2 linked regions of the Schizosaccharomyces pombe genome follow. The protein of the gene in region 1 interacts with the protein of each later gene in a pairwise test. Each region holds a gene or a part of one and is shown on either strand. Other genes may lie near its edges.

Region 1 (8,094 bases):
AATTTCTGATATGGTGTTTTAAGGTCGCGGAATTGGACGATACTTTGTACCCTCTTAACACAGTTGATACAGACTTCTCCAAAGATATTTTGATTCCAAAAGTTGCTAGAAGAGGTCTATCTCAACTGCCATGGGCATTACAATCTTATCCATCTCCCTTAAATATTCATTATGAGAAGTTTGTATCTAAGGTAACTATTGAAAATGATAAATGTACCCTTGATTGTAAGGACAACTCTTCTTATGAGGTTGACCAAGTTGTAATTGCTTGCTCTCCTTCTCATTTTTCTTCAAATATAGAGTTTTCACCAGGTCTTCCTAATTTCGTGACTGAAAACATAAAAAGTATAGATTTCAAACCCGGAAAAAAGGTAGGTTTTTATTTATTTATTTTTTTTTCAATTATAAAGTTAACATTGAGCAGGTTATTCTTCGTTATGCAGCTGCTTTTTGGCGAAAGAACATTAGATCATTTGGTATTATACCAAAATCATTAAGTCAAGAAATGAACAATGATGAGAATGATGGTAAATCTTGTTTTGTTTTGAGAATATGGAATATGCTTCCTGAAACTGGTGTCCCAATATTAGTAGCGGATATCAATCCACAAATGACAAGTTCTTCTTCTAACGAGACCTCCCACTTAATTCAAGAATTACACAGTCTAATAGTAGATCATTTTCAAAATGATTCAAACAGCTCAGCTGATTTATTAGATGCTTGGGTCACAAACTGGTCGAGAAATGGTGTCTATGACGGCTTAAATTCTTATCCAAATTTTGCCAATGATAAGCAGCAATATGAAAAAAGATTTAGGCAAAGTCAGTTATCGTATAATTTGGGTCGCTTGCATATTGCTGGAGACTATATATTCAGTTGCGTAGGCTGTAGGACATTACAAAGATCCTTTTTATCTGGCCTTTCCGTATGTACAGGGATTATTGATTCATTGGCTCCAATTTCCTTAACCATACCTATCATTGGAGAAACCTCTCGCAAAGAATTGGATCAGTTTTTGCGAAACTCTAAAGTTAATAATTTTGATCCCAATGCTGAAGCACAGCGTCACCTTTCTTATCAGGCAAGATATAGGTTGAAAAAGCAGGAAAGACTTGACGAGCATAAGGAAGAACAGGAACAGCTTGTAACTGAACTTCTTGGTTATTTACCTGAACCTCCTTCCAAGCCGAATGCAAATCCCTTTTTACTTTACCAAAAAATGCAGTGGCATGTATGCCGTGCACTTGCTGATGAAGACAAGCGAAGGTTAACAGGAGATAGTACAGCGAAGGCTACTATTAATGAAACACGTGCCAAACTAGGGAAAACTTGGCGCCAGCTTGATGATTTAGGTAAAAAACCTTGGATTGATGAAATTGCAGCACAAAGAGAAGCTTATGCTGGAAAAATTCTTCGTTATCAGCGCCTAACTAAAGAATATGAAATGAGAGCCGAGCAAATACGAAATGATTATGCGGCCAAATGCCAAGATGAACCTATTCCCGATGATGAAGCAAGATTGTTTATGCAAGCTCAACGAGAAGAAGAGCAAAGAAAACAAACTCAGGATGACAACATTTCCAAAAGTCGAGAGGCTAGCGACGAAGAGTATCATGACGATGGATCTTCTGATTCGGGTTATAATGGAACACGATATTAAAAGAAAAAAAATCAAATCACATATTGTTTTTTAAAAGTTTAGTTACTTCGCATCATTACAAATACCCTTAAAATTTTATGTACATATATATTCTCGTCATGCCCTAAATGAAGCATTTTATCAAATTGCTAATTTCAGCAAATTGTTTAAGGAAAATCTAAAATACATGTACACTTCTCGTTAGCCAGTAGCCAACCTGATTTAATGCCGAAGATGTAAGAGATAAAAGATGATATCGTAAACACAGCTACTACTCTCACTCTTTAGGATGTAATGCATGTTACCATTTTGCCATTAACATAATATTCAAGCAACAAATGATATTACTAGTACGCTTGTGAAATAAATAAAAAAATAAGTTATTAGAAAAAAAGTAATTAAAATTAACTAAGAATCATTAAATTAAGCCAAAACAGATGCGGTTGTATTTGTTGCAGACACCATGGACACTATGTATCTCAAAGCAAGTACTACAACGAAATAGTTAAAAAAAAAACATAAGATGCATATGATATTAAAATAAAATAATATAAAAATGCCGAGTTATTGACTCCAGTCCATATTTGGACATGTATAATTAAAAGCATTATCCAAAAGTTAATAGGAGATGGCATCTCAATTGTCAAAAAAAAAGTGGTTGTTATAAAGACTCGTAATTCAGGAAGTCTGTTATAAATAATTAAAGAGACTGTAAGACTTCATTGATAAGAACATCGAATTCTTTAGCATACGCCATGTTCAAAGCGTGTGGATCTTGTAGCATATTGTCGTCAGGCAAAGGGGAGCTAAGACTTGAATCTGAACAGTATGATACGGAATTAGATCGTTCATAACCCATTGGCAAAGTAGCTAGATACAGAGCATTGGATGAACTTCTTCTGGAAGGCGATACGGCACAGTGATTATTATGAACTTGATCTTCAGCAGTAGGCAAGCTTTCAGAAAATGATAGATTTCTATGACATGAAAGAGCTGAAAAGTCACCGGAAGAAGATGACGAATGACAAACTGTTGTAGCAACAGTCTTACCAGGAATACTGTACATATTGGAATTCTCAACCACCTCTTCTTCATCCATAAGGTCGTTTGGTTCAATCTTAAAGGTCAACTTCTCACCAGGTGCTAAATTGACAAAGGTGACGTTGTTGTCTGGTGAACAAATGGTAGAAGGAGAAACATTAGAATTGGTGAGTGGAGAAGATAAAGGACTAGGTTGATTTCCTGCCAAAGATGGAGGTGAAACGCCGTGTTTAACAGGACAAAACGAGGCAGTCGGAAGTGAGGTAATGCTTGACATTCGACGTTGAGAATTGAAAGAGGTATTCGGGGCAGTGTAAGAACGCTGAGGGAATTTATAAAGCATCGGAGGACCGGTACCCGAATTATTATAAGCATTGGATTGCGAGTCAAAACCGTTGGATAGGGTTACAGCGCTACTAGGCGTACTAGGGCAGCAAGGCGATGGACGTGACGATATGGAAAGAGGATTCTCATAATGTGACTGAGGACTGAGGTATGACTGCTGATTTTGATACATAAAAGCAGAAAACTGAGAAGGAGTAGGTGGAATGGGGGGTGACATGGAAATGGGAGTTTGAGGTGGATCTGAGGCTGAAGAAACAGAAAATTGACGGCGGGGAACGAAAGGAGCTACTGAGGAAGAGGATGAAGATGGAGCTGTCATGGATGAATTATACTGGAAGTAGGGATTAGGAACCATAACGGGGGTATGAACGGAATTCACGGAAGAAGAAGAAGATGTAGAAAATTGAGAAGTATGAGTAGCAGAAGAGGTGGTAATGGGAGCGGGGTTGGAATTGAAGGAAGGTTGTTTATAGAGAGATGCAGAAGGAGTAACGGAATCAAATTCCGGAAGTTGGAATGTCTTAGCAGAAGAACCGAACGATGAATTAGCACTCAAAGGTTTACCGGCCAAATTTGGAGGAACCATGATGAGTTCAGCCTTTGCACTTTGAGAAGAGCCAAGAAAGGCATAACGCTTACTGATAGTGGCTTTGAGCATGTAGCAAATGTTGACCATGGAATCATTGGACTTGGAACAAGGAAGAGACGAGGCGGATTTAGAAGGAAATTTAAATTTGAAGTCAATGGCATGAGACTTTGAAGAGGGACCTGCTGGTATAGGAAGAGGCTGAGAATGAGTAAAAATTTCTGTAGCTTCATCGGAATCGGAGGCAGAAGCAGTTGTTGGATGTTTATGGGAAGGAGAAGACAAGAAACCATGATGATAAACAGCATAACCCTTGATGCGAAGTTGAATTTGAAAGGAACGAGGAGAGGTAGCGGCATTTGTTTCAAAGCAAATTTTTCCGGTGATTACACGGTCAAAGCTATACGTCGCAGAATCTAGGATTATTTCCAAAAACATGATGGGTACGGAAGTACAGAAATTGGTAAGTAAGGGACTGGTAAAAATGAGAAGAGAGAAACGGAATTGCTCTGATAAGAAGAGGAGAGGGGAAAGGATAAAGAAAATGAGAGATGTTGAGAAGGAATAGTCAAATCAACGTGAACGTGAAAGAAGAAAGAGAGATTTTAAAGAAATAAAAAACACACTAAACACTAAATCTTGGAATAAAAAATTTAATAACAAGAACTCGATTTTCTTTTTGTAAACAAGAAGAACGACAACAAAAAGGTAAAGTATATAATGTCTAAAAGCTGGAAATTGAAGAAACAGCTAAAACAAAAATCAGAAAACGAAACGCACAAACAGATAGAGATAGTTAGACTGCGGAGTAGATAGACATGTAATCTTCTGAATTGAGCTAGATGAGGAGAGAAGAGATAGCAAAAGAAAAAGAAGAAGAAGAGAGAGAAAAAAAAAAAAAAAAAAAAAAACAAATTACAAAATAAGCCTTTATATCTTAACTTATCGAAGCTTTTGCTTTATTCCAAGTATATTCAGAGATAGATATACTAAGAAAGAAAGAAAGAAAGAAGGAAGGAAAAAATTAAAAATACTGCTGCTGTGCCTGACACAACTTAAATGTAAATACTAATGATTTATGCGACTCCAATTTTGGGGCTAACACGATTTATATAAAGTAAGTGATGCGAGAGGGGTATACCTGGGCTTTGCTCCATTTTCAAACAAAGAAAATCAACAATACAACCAGCGATTGGATTGAGTCATGCTAATCCCAGCATGGCTAGCACTCAAACAAGCAAGCAAACAAGCAACAAAGGGTAACGATGACTCCTTGATAAACCCTGTAAATCAATGTGACAACGATCCTCCTAGGGTGTATGGAGTAACGGTAAATGGGAAAGATTTGAAGTAGAGGAGGTACCAGGGATAAAGAGTACAAAGCATCGAGTAAAGTGATAGCTTATCATGTGCTACACGAATGGAAGCGATGCACACTTCAACGGTCAAAGTAACAAGAGCGGAGTTTGGAGATTACGAACAAAGAAAGCGAGTTTTGCGAGATCGGTTGCAGGCACTCCGAATAGTAAAAGGATTGCGGCAATGGCAACTAGTCAACTTGGTAATTTGAAAGAATGAAGAGTAAACAAGGGAATTTCAAGAAGAAGAGGTTCCGAAGGGTATGAAGAAGAAAGAAGAGAATTGCTTTAAAGAAGTAAAAGGGAGTAAAGAAATTTCAGTTTGGTTTTAGCTCGGGATTGGGCTTGAGCTTGGGAAGAAAAACGGATTGCGCTTAAAGAGATTTACGCACATGGAGTACGGATCGAGGGGAAGCGAGGAGAGAGAATGTAAGAATAGGCGAGGCAGGAAAAAGACATGAGAATAAGTAAAAGTTTGGAAGAAGTAGAAACGGAAAGAGGAAAGAAAGAAAGAAAGAAAGAAATTAGAAGATGAAGAAGAAGAAACTGAAAAACATAAAAATAAAATAGACAGATGGGAAAAATATGAAAGAGAGAAATACTTCTTACGGAGACTCAAGCTCATGTCCGAGGGAACAAACATTCCTCATAGTATGCGAAAACTTTCCTTTTCTCTTTTCGTGGAGAAGCAAAATGTTTGCCGACACAAAGGTCACTTGATTTTTCGTGCGCCATTCGTACGAATTCTTTTTTAAATAAAAAATAATTATATTTATTTAAAATAAGAGAAAAAAAAATGAATACCCTGTTGAATTTCTTACACGCCATTTTGTAACCGTTTCATTACATACTATAACGCCTACATATTACAAATGCTCACGTTATACCATGGAAAGCCGACAAACACGGTACAATGTAAATGAACAAGCACAAATGACTCCTGAAATGCAAACAAACCCGTCAGTTAACACCTAGGAATAGTCTCCCATGCAAACGCATTTCGGTTGGCGAACGCTGGTACTTTTTTAATACATTCATTTCACTCCTTTGCAAACACATCATGCCTTGAACCTCCTTACCTATCAGATTTCGCTTTCTTTGTTGATCAACCTCGCAGCATCTCGATATCTTTTTGCGTGGCCACACGCAAGATTTCATTTTTTTTGTCAAAAAGTTTTCCCACATACTGTGTTTGCATGCATAAATCACCTATTCGGATATTATCAATAGTCAAAGTCTCTTAGAAAGGGAAACCGCCCCTCCCCGCGTTACTTTTTTGGAGGCACCTTATTCTAAGCATTATACATGTCCACAATTTCCTAAATAAGCATAGAGCATAAAGTGGTAACCCTTTTCTTCTCAAACAAACGCCCGTCCACATTCTCTCAGTGTCTCTCTGTTGTTGCTGGAAATTGGGTATATGAAAAACAACCATCGCTGCCACTAAACATCGCTATGACAAATGCAGCACAGTTGTAACATGGATAAACAACTAGATATTTCTTATTCCACTCTGGTGATGTCACGACAGGTGCTTTGCGGGGCACGGTTGTTTAGATTGAATCACGGGGGAGGGGTTCCAAGTAAGAAGGACTCCTTTGCAAATGCATTGAGAGAGGATGGGGTATAAGGAAGTTTAGGCACTCTACTCTATCATGAGTAAGTTGCAGCCCCACTTTTTTTTACCAGTTCCAAGTGGGGGATGCGATTCGAGGAAGATGCACCAAGTAGGAGACTGTAGATATAGAAGGGATGGTTCTAAAGTGGGTGAATAAAGTCTACGTGGGGGTGAGAAATCTTTCAAGTTCAGCAAGTTGGTCCCTTGGCAAGGGAGTAGTAGTATATGGATAAATTTCCCCCCACATAGGGTCTCAGAGTAAGTTTGCTCCTCTATTCTTAATAGCTTGTTTATGTCAACAATAGCAAAACAATCAGCCAGAATCAAATAATCAATGAATACAACGTCCATATTGTTCTTATTTAGGAAACAATGTACATAATCAATTTTATTTTTTTTTGAAGGCTATATTTTTTTGTACTATGAACGAAACCATTATTTCTCATAGCAACCTTCGTATCTTATCTCGGGTTTCAAACAAAATCAGTAGCATTGCAAAGGTTCAATGTTTTACGCACAAAGGATTTTTTTTTTCTTTGAGTATCGTTTGTTTATCTAAAATTTTCCCAGGGTAATAGGAAAATTTGTAATACATACAAAGGCAGATCCTTTAATTTTGACTTTTAGTAGCCACTAGCTGTACTTTTAAAAATTTCCTACTGTAAAGACAACCTTTGTCTGATAGTGAATGAAATTGACATTCCAAAAAAAATAAAGCTTTCATCAAATTAATCTTATCATTACGATTACCATCAACTAAAGTATCTACCATTTTGTTCTACTTAAGTTTCGTTCCACATCTGTATAGCACGTGCGTTGATATTTGCTTATTTTGGTTTTTATCGTGTATGCACTTTCCTTTTTTAACATAAATGAAACCTGAAAGCGCATCTCCCGTTATTCTTTAGAAGGTTGCTAATGTCTCCATATTCATTTTCTTATAAGGATCAAATTGCTCATGTAAATATACTCCAAAGTTCAGGAATTTTGCAAGCCTGAATTTAAAATATTAACTAACTAAAATTAAAATTTCTTTTTCCTATAAATTCTATATTTTACTTAACGTGCTGTCTACGGCCATACCTAGGTGAAAACACCAGTTCCCGTCCGATCACTGCAGTTAAGCGTCTGAGGGCCTCGTTAGTACTATGGTTGGAGACAACATGGGAATCCGGGGTGCTGTAGGTTCCTTTTATTTTTTTTCTCATTTTTTAGCTCAGTCATTAACATTGATCATTGCAAAATCCGTAATATTTTTTTCACTTTCCGTTTTTTTTTTTTTTTAAATAATCGAATGCGTCGTTTTACAACCTCTGGTTTGAAGTAGATGCAACAAATTTTAGCGAAACATTTACAACATTCAATGTGATGAGACTTTTTGTTTCGCTGAGAGCAACAACAAATAATACTAAGAATACATTGCAGTACTATGATCAGAATGGATGGTAAATTCCAATAATAATAAATTAGTATGGCTATTAAAGGAAGCATGCAAATTTTAAAACCT
Region 2 (7,646 bases), 4.1 Mb from region 1:
ATCAAATCATCATTAGCTATGTCTCTTCGTTCCTCTTCTTTACTATCGGCAACTGTATCTTGTTCTGCATCTACATCTTCACTTTGTGCTACCTTTTGTATGTCAGGCGTACTAATGGACTCGGAAAGCGCATCATTCTCTGTAGTCGCTTCTATATTTTGTTTAGTTGACTTTTTCTTTTGATTTTTACGATTCCTTTTCTTCTTCTTCTTTGATAAAGCACTGCTGACACCTATAGTATCAGTTGAGGGCCTTGAAACTTCGGGAACGTCATTTTTTGTCTCTACTGTTTTATCATCTTTCAAACTGGAAATAACCTCCTGCTCAATGGATTGTGCACTTTCCAACGAATTAATCTTCTCTTCAAGTTCCGAGCATCTTTGTATTGACTTTTCTAGCTCATCTTTTTTCTGTAGAATTAAACTGTTTTGATTACTTATTTCAGAGTTCAGCTTTTCAATTTGATCCTCGAACTGATGTTTTAAATTCTCCCGATCAGTCTGTAAATCATTCACTTCATGCGATAATCTCCTAACTTCGCTAACTGTCATTTCATAACGATGCTCTAAATTCTCCATAAATTCACGGAATCCTTCTAAGTCTTGAATACTTGACAACGGAGTTTTCTCCTGTAGAAGCTTTTGAAACGCTACAACGTTATTTTGTAGTTCATTCAATTTTTGTACGACGGAGTCCATATTTTTCGCGTCCTCTTCATTTTGAGAGAGCTTATTAGAAGATTTATTATTTCTTCTTAATTGATCTTCTTCTTGAAACTGCCTACGTCGATTCTTAGCTTCTTCCTGGCCTTGGGCCAGTGTCATGTTCAATTGATCTTTTAATCTTCCCAGCATTTTGATTGATAACCAAGAAAGAAAGTACCCATAGATTAAATCGTATAATGTTATTTAATCTTATACGTGCTTGGAAATATTAGTTGTTAGATATTGTAATTGACTGGGTATGGCACAATATTCTAGTGTTAACATTCTGCCACTTTAGCGTACTCTATTCTACTGCACCCTGTTAGATGGATTAACCCTTTAACTGAATGTATCGCTATCTCACAATATCAAATGCTTGTGTACCGTATTAGTATAGCAAAATTAAGCATAAACTATGAAATTGCCCATATAAATTGATTGAAGATAATTTTATATTCGATGGAATTGAAACCGAGATTACCCAATCTATTATTAATAATAAAAATTCACCACAAGGCCTGATCCGAAAACATTTAGAAGATTTGAAAACTCTTCAAGCAATAAACAGTGAATGTTTTTTAACAAGTTTATTTGTAAGTCCAAAATGATACAAGGAATTAATAGCAAGAAGATATACTCTCAGCAAAGCAACGCTAGCTGATTTTAAGCTCGTATATTTCAATAAGAGATACATTTTTGTACGATAACTGCTATCTTATGTGACTTTAGTAGCATGTTACTTAAGAGAGAAGATTTTCTAGCAGTACAATTGAAATTATCTGATTAAATAGTTGTGTTAAGGGGAATTTAATTGTCCTTAACTCGTTATTTGCATAAATTATAAAATTAAACATTTTTTTCAATGTGGCATTTATTAAACAGGTCTCAAGTAAGAGTATGTATTTTGAATAAAACATATCGATACTCAGAGTGAAGTTGACCATCTTGTCAAAATACAAGTTAATTTTAGCACGTTCACTATAACTAGATCTTTGTCACATAAAATTTGAGGCAATCATAAATTTAGCATTGAGCCGTCATTGATCATAATAAACTTATGGCATAAAAATTCGTATACAAAAAATGATCAATCATTATTAATAATTAAATCGAATAAGTATACTTTCGTAAAACGTTCCCATTTGGAAACATAAATTAACATCATATATTTGAAGTGAATATAATTTACACAAGCAGGCAAATTCTTGCAATTTGTAAAACATCCGAAGTTTTTGGAGCAATCATAATATACTTTGGAATTGAACAAAAATAAAATATAGAAAAGAAAGGGTAAGCAAAGCGATAGGTAAACATAAACAATACAGGATCTCTTTCGTAATCAACATTTGCTTGCAGTTGGAGGAAACAAGCCTATTTGTTGGGCACTAGCAATAGATCTTAGTTTACGACGTGCATTATTGGGAGCAGGGAAAGGCTCTTCCATTCCTCTATTAGGTCCATGGCTTACAAATATTTTCGGGCGGTAAGCAGGGTTCTCGTCCATAACACACGAGTTTCGGAATTTTTCAATCAGCCTGTCTTTGCCTTGAATATTAGCATAGCTGATATCGCATATTTTTTCAGAGTGAAAGACGTTCCATTGAGTACCCACTCTAGCTTTGCCAAAGGTAATGATAGATTGAGGTTCAATAAAGTTTATAAACGCATATCCTACATTGCATTTATTAACAAAATCTATCCGTAAATAAAGAAAATCATAGGTACCCTTGTTGGTAACATCAATGTAATCCCTTAGCATTTGCTGGGTAAATTTATTCGGGATATTTTTTATCATTACCGTGGTTCTTGTGTCAATTCCAGACGCAATTTGTGCATAATCGACAGAATTTCTATCTGAAGCATGTTTTTCAACAGTAGGAGTATATCTTTGGAGATTCAAGTCCGGATTCAGAGAAGAAGCAGATAGTGTAGAATCTGCTTTTGAGTCGTGTAGAGTAAGTGAGGCAAAACTTAAATTTGTAGGATTACTACATGATGCATTTGCACCAACAGTTAAACTTCTCCTCATACCAAGAGAACCTGTTGGTGAATCAAAGACTTTACCAGTATTAGAGGAAAAAGGTGACCATTGTGGATTAATTCCGTTCAGTAAATCACTATTCCTTTGCTTAAGACGTGAGGAATTTGGCGGTGCAATAGGATTTACATCTAAACCATACCTTATCGAATTATACTGCCTGGAAGGATTTCGATCACTGGGAGCAACAGGGCTAGTTGAAGAGACATCGTAATATCCGCTTGTTCCCCAAGCTGGAGATGATTCAGTGCGTCCTAAGGGAACGGATCCAAAGTTATTCGACATTCCATAACTCGAACCAATTCTTGAAACAGCACAACTAGCAGCAGTGGGAGTTTCTTGGTTAGAAGACATTGTCATAGAGTTGTTCCATTCAGAATTGTTATTTAACATCCCACTAAATCCTCTTGGAACAGAGAGGCTAGAGGCCGAAGAGGTGCTAACTGAATCAGCCATTGCATCGTAATAAGCGACTTGAAGGCAGCAATTATGAATAATTCTTCCATCCAATTCATCTAATGCAAAAGATGCATCTCTTGTATCATAGAATTCGCAAATAATTTGTGAAACATTTTGACTTCTTAAAGGCTTCATAATAAGAAGTGGACCGAACGTCTGAAGTATAGATTGCAGTTGAAGGATGCTCAGAACAGAACCTCCCTGCATATTTAAGAGAAGTTGACCTTCATTATCGTCAAGGAATTGAATAGTAGCACCTTGATTAATCATTTTTTGAATGCTGCTTCTTTGGCAGAATTGGAAATACAGTAATCTATCATTAAAAAATCTCTGAGATCGCAGTGATTTAGCGGCCTGTATTGCTTGCCTAATATCGAAAAAAGCAACAATGCATATACCATCCGTAGACAATGAAGATGTATCAATTCCTTTCACATCTCCAAGTTTTGAAAAAAGCTCCAATAAAGTAGCATAAGGAACAATACGAGGAAGGTTAGTAACGAACAAGTAACGAGAAGCATGAGAAAATATATCTATATCGTCAGAATTAGAGTTAAGCGAGGAAGAACGAAATCCGGTAACAGATGGTTTACGAGTTAGTGCCTGAGCTGCTTGCTCAGAACTTGAAATGTAACTTTGAATGCCATTTTGCGGAGGGGATTCTGAGAGAACAGAAATGTTTTGTTGCCATGTACTAAGAGGTTGTCGATCAGCTGACAATAAAACATTACCTGTAGTGAATACTTTCCGTTCACCAACTCGACAAGCATCAATAGGATTTAAAGGAGCGGTTGAAAACTGATAGTTGTTTTCGTTATTAACAAAGTTGGGGAAGATATTTTGAGTATCCGTAAGATAATCAATTGAGTTTGATTCACTAGATTTGGTAGCAGATAGTTGAATATTTCTGATGGGTGAAGGACCACTCAAAAGTAAAGTACTCTTGGGAGGGTAATGCTCGTTAGTAGAGAGTAATGGTGAGTCAAGAAGACTTGAGGGCAAAGCATGCATTGTTTTCTCCATATCAACTTGAAAAGTTGAATCAGATGGAGAAGGGGAGGTGATTGATAAAGGTGATTCGGTTTCCATAATCATTTATGTGTTAAAACGGCAACAATAAAGCTGGCCGATAATCCTTAAAATAGATAAAGAGTAAAAAAAATTACTTAATGACTAATAACTTATAAAACTTTGTTTAGAAGTGGTAAGAAAGGGAGAGAAAGGAACTGCAAAGGATTAAGTTAATACAAACTTTAAAAGACCAGAAAGTTGAAAAGAAAGGAAGGGGTTAGATGGTTGTTAGTAAATCAAACAAACGATGAGAAAATGCAAAAGAACAAAAGAATAATGAAATGAAAAGAAAAAATCAACAATAAATCACAATTGTCGTTCAAATGTATATAATCAAACGAAAAGAATAACAACCAAGATTTGAACAAACAAACTTGTCTTTCATAAAATTAACAAAAGAATAACAAACGTTAGAGGAGGAGAAATTTTCGGGATAAAACTAGGAAACTACCCTTTAATTTTTTTAAAAAAAAAAGAAAAAGATGGGATATTGTCACCACAGAAGAAAAGCGCAAGTAAAAATTTAAAATAATCGATTAGAAACTTTACACATATATACAAGAAAAAATGTATATGCGTATATGAAGAGAAAATGGATTGGAATCGTATATATATAAATGTATATATACGTATCAGTTAGGTTGCAAAAAAAGGAATTAAAAAGTGAAGCACACGAAAAAAGGGGAAGAAAGGAATCGATTCTAGGACAAAGAAGAGAAAAAGATATCAGGGAATGACAATAACGATTCAAGAAAAATTGGTAAAGATCAAAATGAGGATTCAAGAATACAGCCAGAAAATGTAGATAATGTGGTAAAAGATATAATTTGAACTTTCTTTGCGAATGCCTACTATGGGCTATTTTCAACAAGGAATGGGAAAGCGATGGTTGGTCTCGGAGTGGGCACAAGTAATTAATAAACAAACAAACAAAGAAAAGAGAAGTAGCAACTGCGTTCAAAGGTAACAAAGATGCGGGTGGGGATTTTAAGAAGGAAAGAAATGAATTAGATAAATAAACGTATCAATGTTTTGTTACGGTCGATAGGTTTATTGGCGCGGATGATGGCAGCTGTGTGTCCTATTAAGATGGAAAATGCGAACGGTAAGAGAAACAATTGGCAAGGATGGAGTAATGGAAAAGAAGTAAATGCACGATGTATAAAAACTTAAGTTTTTTCCATATGGTTTTTCAACTAACTAGAGGTGTAAAAAAAAAAAAAAAAAAAAAAAAAGCAATTTCCCTTTCCTTTTTTAAAATGGGGTATATATTTTTTGCTTTCTCTATTACAAAGGAACGTTAAGTTTCAGACAAACAAAATATACGACAGCCTAAATGGCAGCAGCGAAACAAAACAAAAACGATGCAATGCAATGCGATGCTTTTCAGTACAAATCAAAAAGCCAGCCCAAAATAGTTCTGTAAAGATAATTACAACAATCTGTCCGGCCGGATTGCTGGAGGAAGGATGGATTGTATGTTGGGAATAATGAGAGGGCTTGGATGCTTTATAATGAGATACAGTAATTAGAGAACAAAGAAGTTATTTCAAAGAAATCACAAAGTCAAAAAGGACTTTATTTGCTCGCAAATATTACGACAATTACTGGGAGAATGCTTGATTGAATGGGACGTACTGTTTATGCTACCCCTGCCTTTGTCCCGTGTAACACAAAGTGGGAAGAGTAACAAAGAAACGAAGTAAGCCAAGTAAACAAAGAATCTCAACAGCAGCTTTCAGTGGCGAAAACAAAGCGTTGAAAACAAAGGGAATCAACGAAATTTATAGACCTACGATGAAAATTTCAGTAGCCTTTACTGTTAGGCATTTACTGTGAACGTTTTTGCAATGCCCCTGAGGGGCTAGCTCGAGAAGGGTTTGTAAAACAAAGAAACTTTAAAATAGGAACAAAGAAATCGGTCGGCTTTCGTTACTCTATCTAAAGTTATGATGCGATGTCAGTAAGCTCTAATATAAGAGGACGATAATGGAAAAAAAATCCCATAAAAAGCGGGACAACTGATCCAATTTGGACAGATTGAAAGCCAACGCGACTCGCGTTAGATAGAGTAAATAGCGAGAAACGCTAAATGCATTTTCTTTTATGGTGTTTGCTTTGTCTACTGAAGCAAAAGGCTATTTATTCAAATCAGTGGTAATTAGTGTATAGCTTGTAAAGGTAAGTTAGTCCTTTTGAAAGTTTGAAAAAGATGATAGATAAAAAACAACGTTGTATCCATCCCGAAAAACATGGACAAGTCAAAGAAATCACATTTTTTATTTGCCTTCATTAGTGTAGTAATCTCCACCTTGCTGTATAATTCGGTAAGGATTTCTTTTGTTATTTACGCGTGCTTTTTTCCATACATCTTTTTTCGCCAATGCAAAACCCTCTTTTAACAGTGTTTCTTCTTTCAACCCTTATTCAGCGCATGCGTCTCCTATATTTGCGCGTTTTACACAGAGGTCGTTTGACATCCAGATTGTTCTCTGGCATGAAAGATAACTACATCATTTAATATTAGCAACTTGCTCACTTTCTTTTCTTTTCACATAAACTATAAAGCTGTTCGGCAATTAAAATTCCCCACTGAAATCCAATTAGCCAACGATCAAACTAGATCGCATTTATTGAGTGATTTGAAAACAATGCTTTATGCGCAAAAGTGGAGAAGGTAAATGTAGACAACCTCACGTTTTTGTTTATAAACATTAGTAAACGCCGCATTCGATTTTAATGTATCACGTATAAATCGGTAAATATGTGTGTACCACGGTTGTAGAAGTGCTCGAAGACAAGTAAGAAGGAAGCATTAATAACTTTTGGCAATTAAAAAGAGGTTGGGAATTCAGAACAAAAAAAGAGTAAAAGCGATATATTTATTCTATTCCAAAAGATTTGTATGCATGTATAAGAGATTTTAAGGCTGATGATGGTTTTTGATTATACTTTGGGTTTACATTATTTTTGTTTTGTTCTGTTTTGTTTGTTTTGTTTTGCTTTCGTATACACTCTATTTTTTTTTAAACGTAAAATGATCATTAGCGATGTTGCTTCAGTAAAGCGAGAGTCAGTGAACAATGGTTAGATTAAAGCTTTGCTGAGTAAATATTTTTTGGCTTTCTTATTAAAGGTCTTATAAGAAACATATGTGTATTTTTTGTTTTATTGCTTAGCCAGTTTACTATTTTTGGGACAATGCGTTTCGTAAACGTTTATGATGTTTGATGTACGTGACGAATTGTTCAAAAGTTAAATTTTGAGGTTTAAAAAAAATGAAGGCCTGAGAAACCGCTTCTATCTCTATGGTTGTTTATATCACCAACAAATGTCAATTGAGAATTTGAGGAAAGAACAGAAACCTAAGAGGA

What was found. The genes of interacting proteins can lie anywhere in the genome.
Region 2: the proteins of ste7 (region 1) and mei2 interact in a two-hybrid assay, tested with the Schizosaccharomyces pombe proteins (one study listed by BioGRID).

What each region holds. Positions count from the first base shown.
Region 1 is NC_003424.3:448,871-456,964, forward strand, and holds ste7 (meiosis specific arrestin family membrane adaptor Ste7), read right to left. Parts: upstream 4,692-8,094; 5' UTR 4,050-4,691; coding exon 2,340-4,049; 3' UTR 1,990-2,339; downstream 1-1,989. Other genes in the region: lsd2 (putative histone demethylase SWIRM2), read left to right, coding at 1-371, 425-1,660. UniProt on the Schizosaccharomyces pombe protein: Has a role in promoting meiosis whereby it is involved in establishing the mating pheromone signaling pathway. It also has a role in suppressing meiosis until the conjugation process is complete.
Region 2 is NC_003424.3:4,508,997-4,516,642, forward strand, and holds mei2 (RNA-binding protein Mei2), read right to left. Parts: upstream 6,030-7,646; 5' UTR 4,297-6,029; coding exon 2,044-4,296; 3' UTR 1,987-2,043; downstream 1-1,986. Other genes in the region: grp1 (GRIP domain-containing protein), read right to left, coding at 1-854. UniProt on the Schizosaccharomyces pombe protein: Crucial for commitment to meiosis but it is not sufficient itself for the commitment. May be a splicing regulator.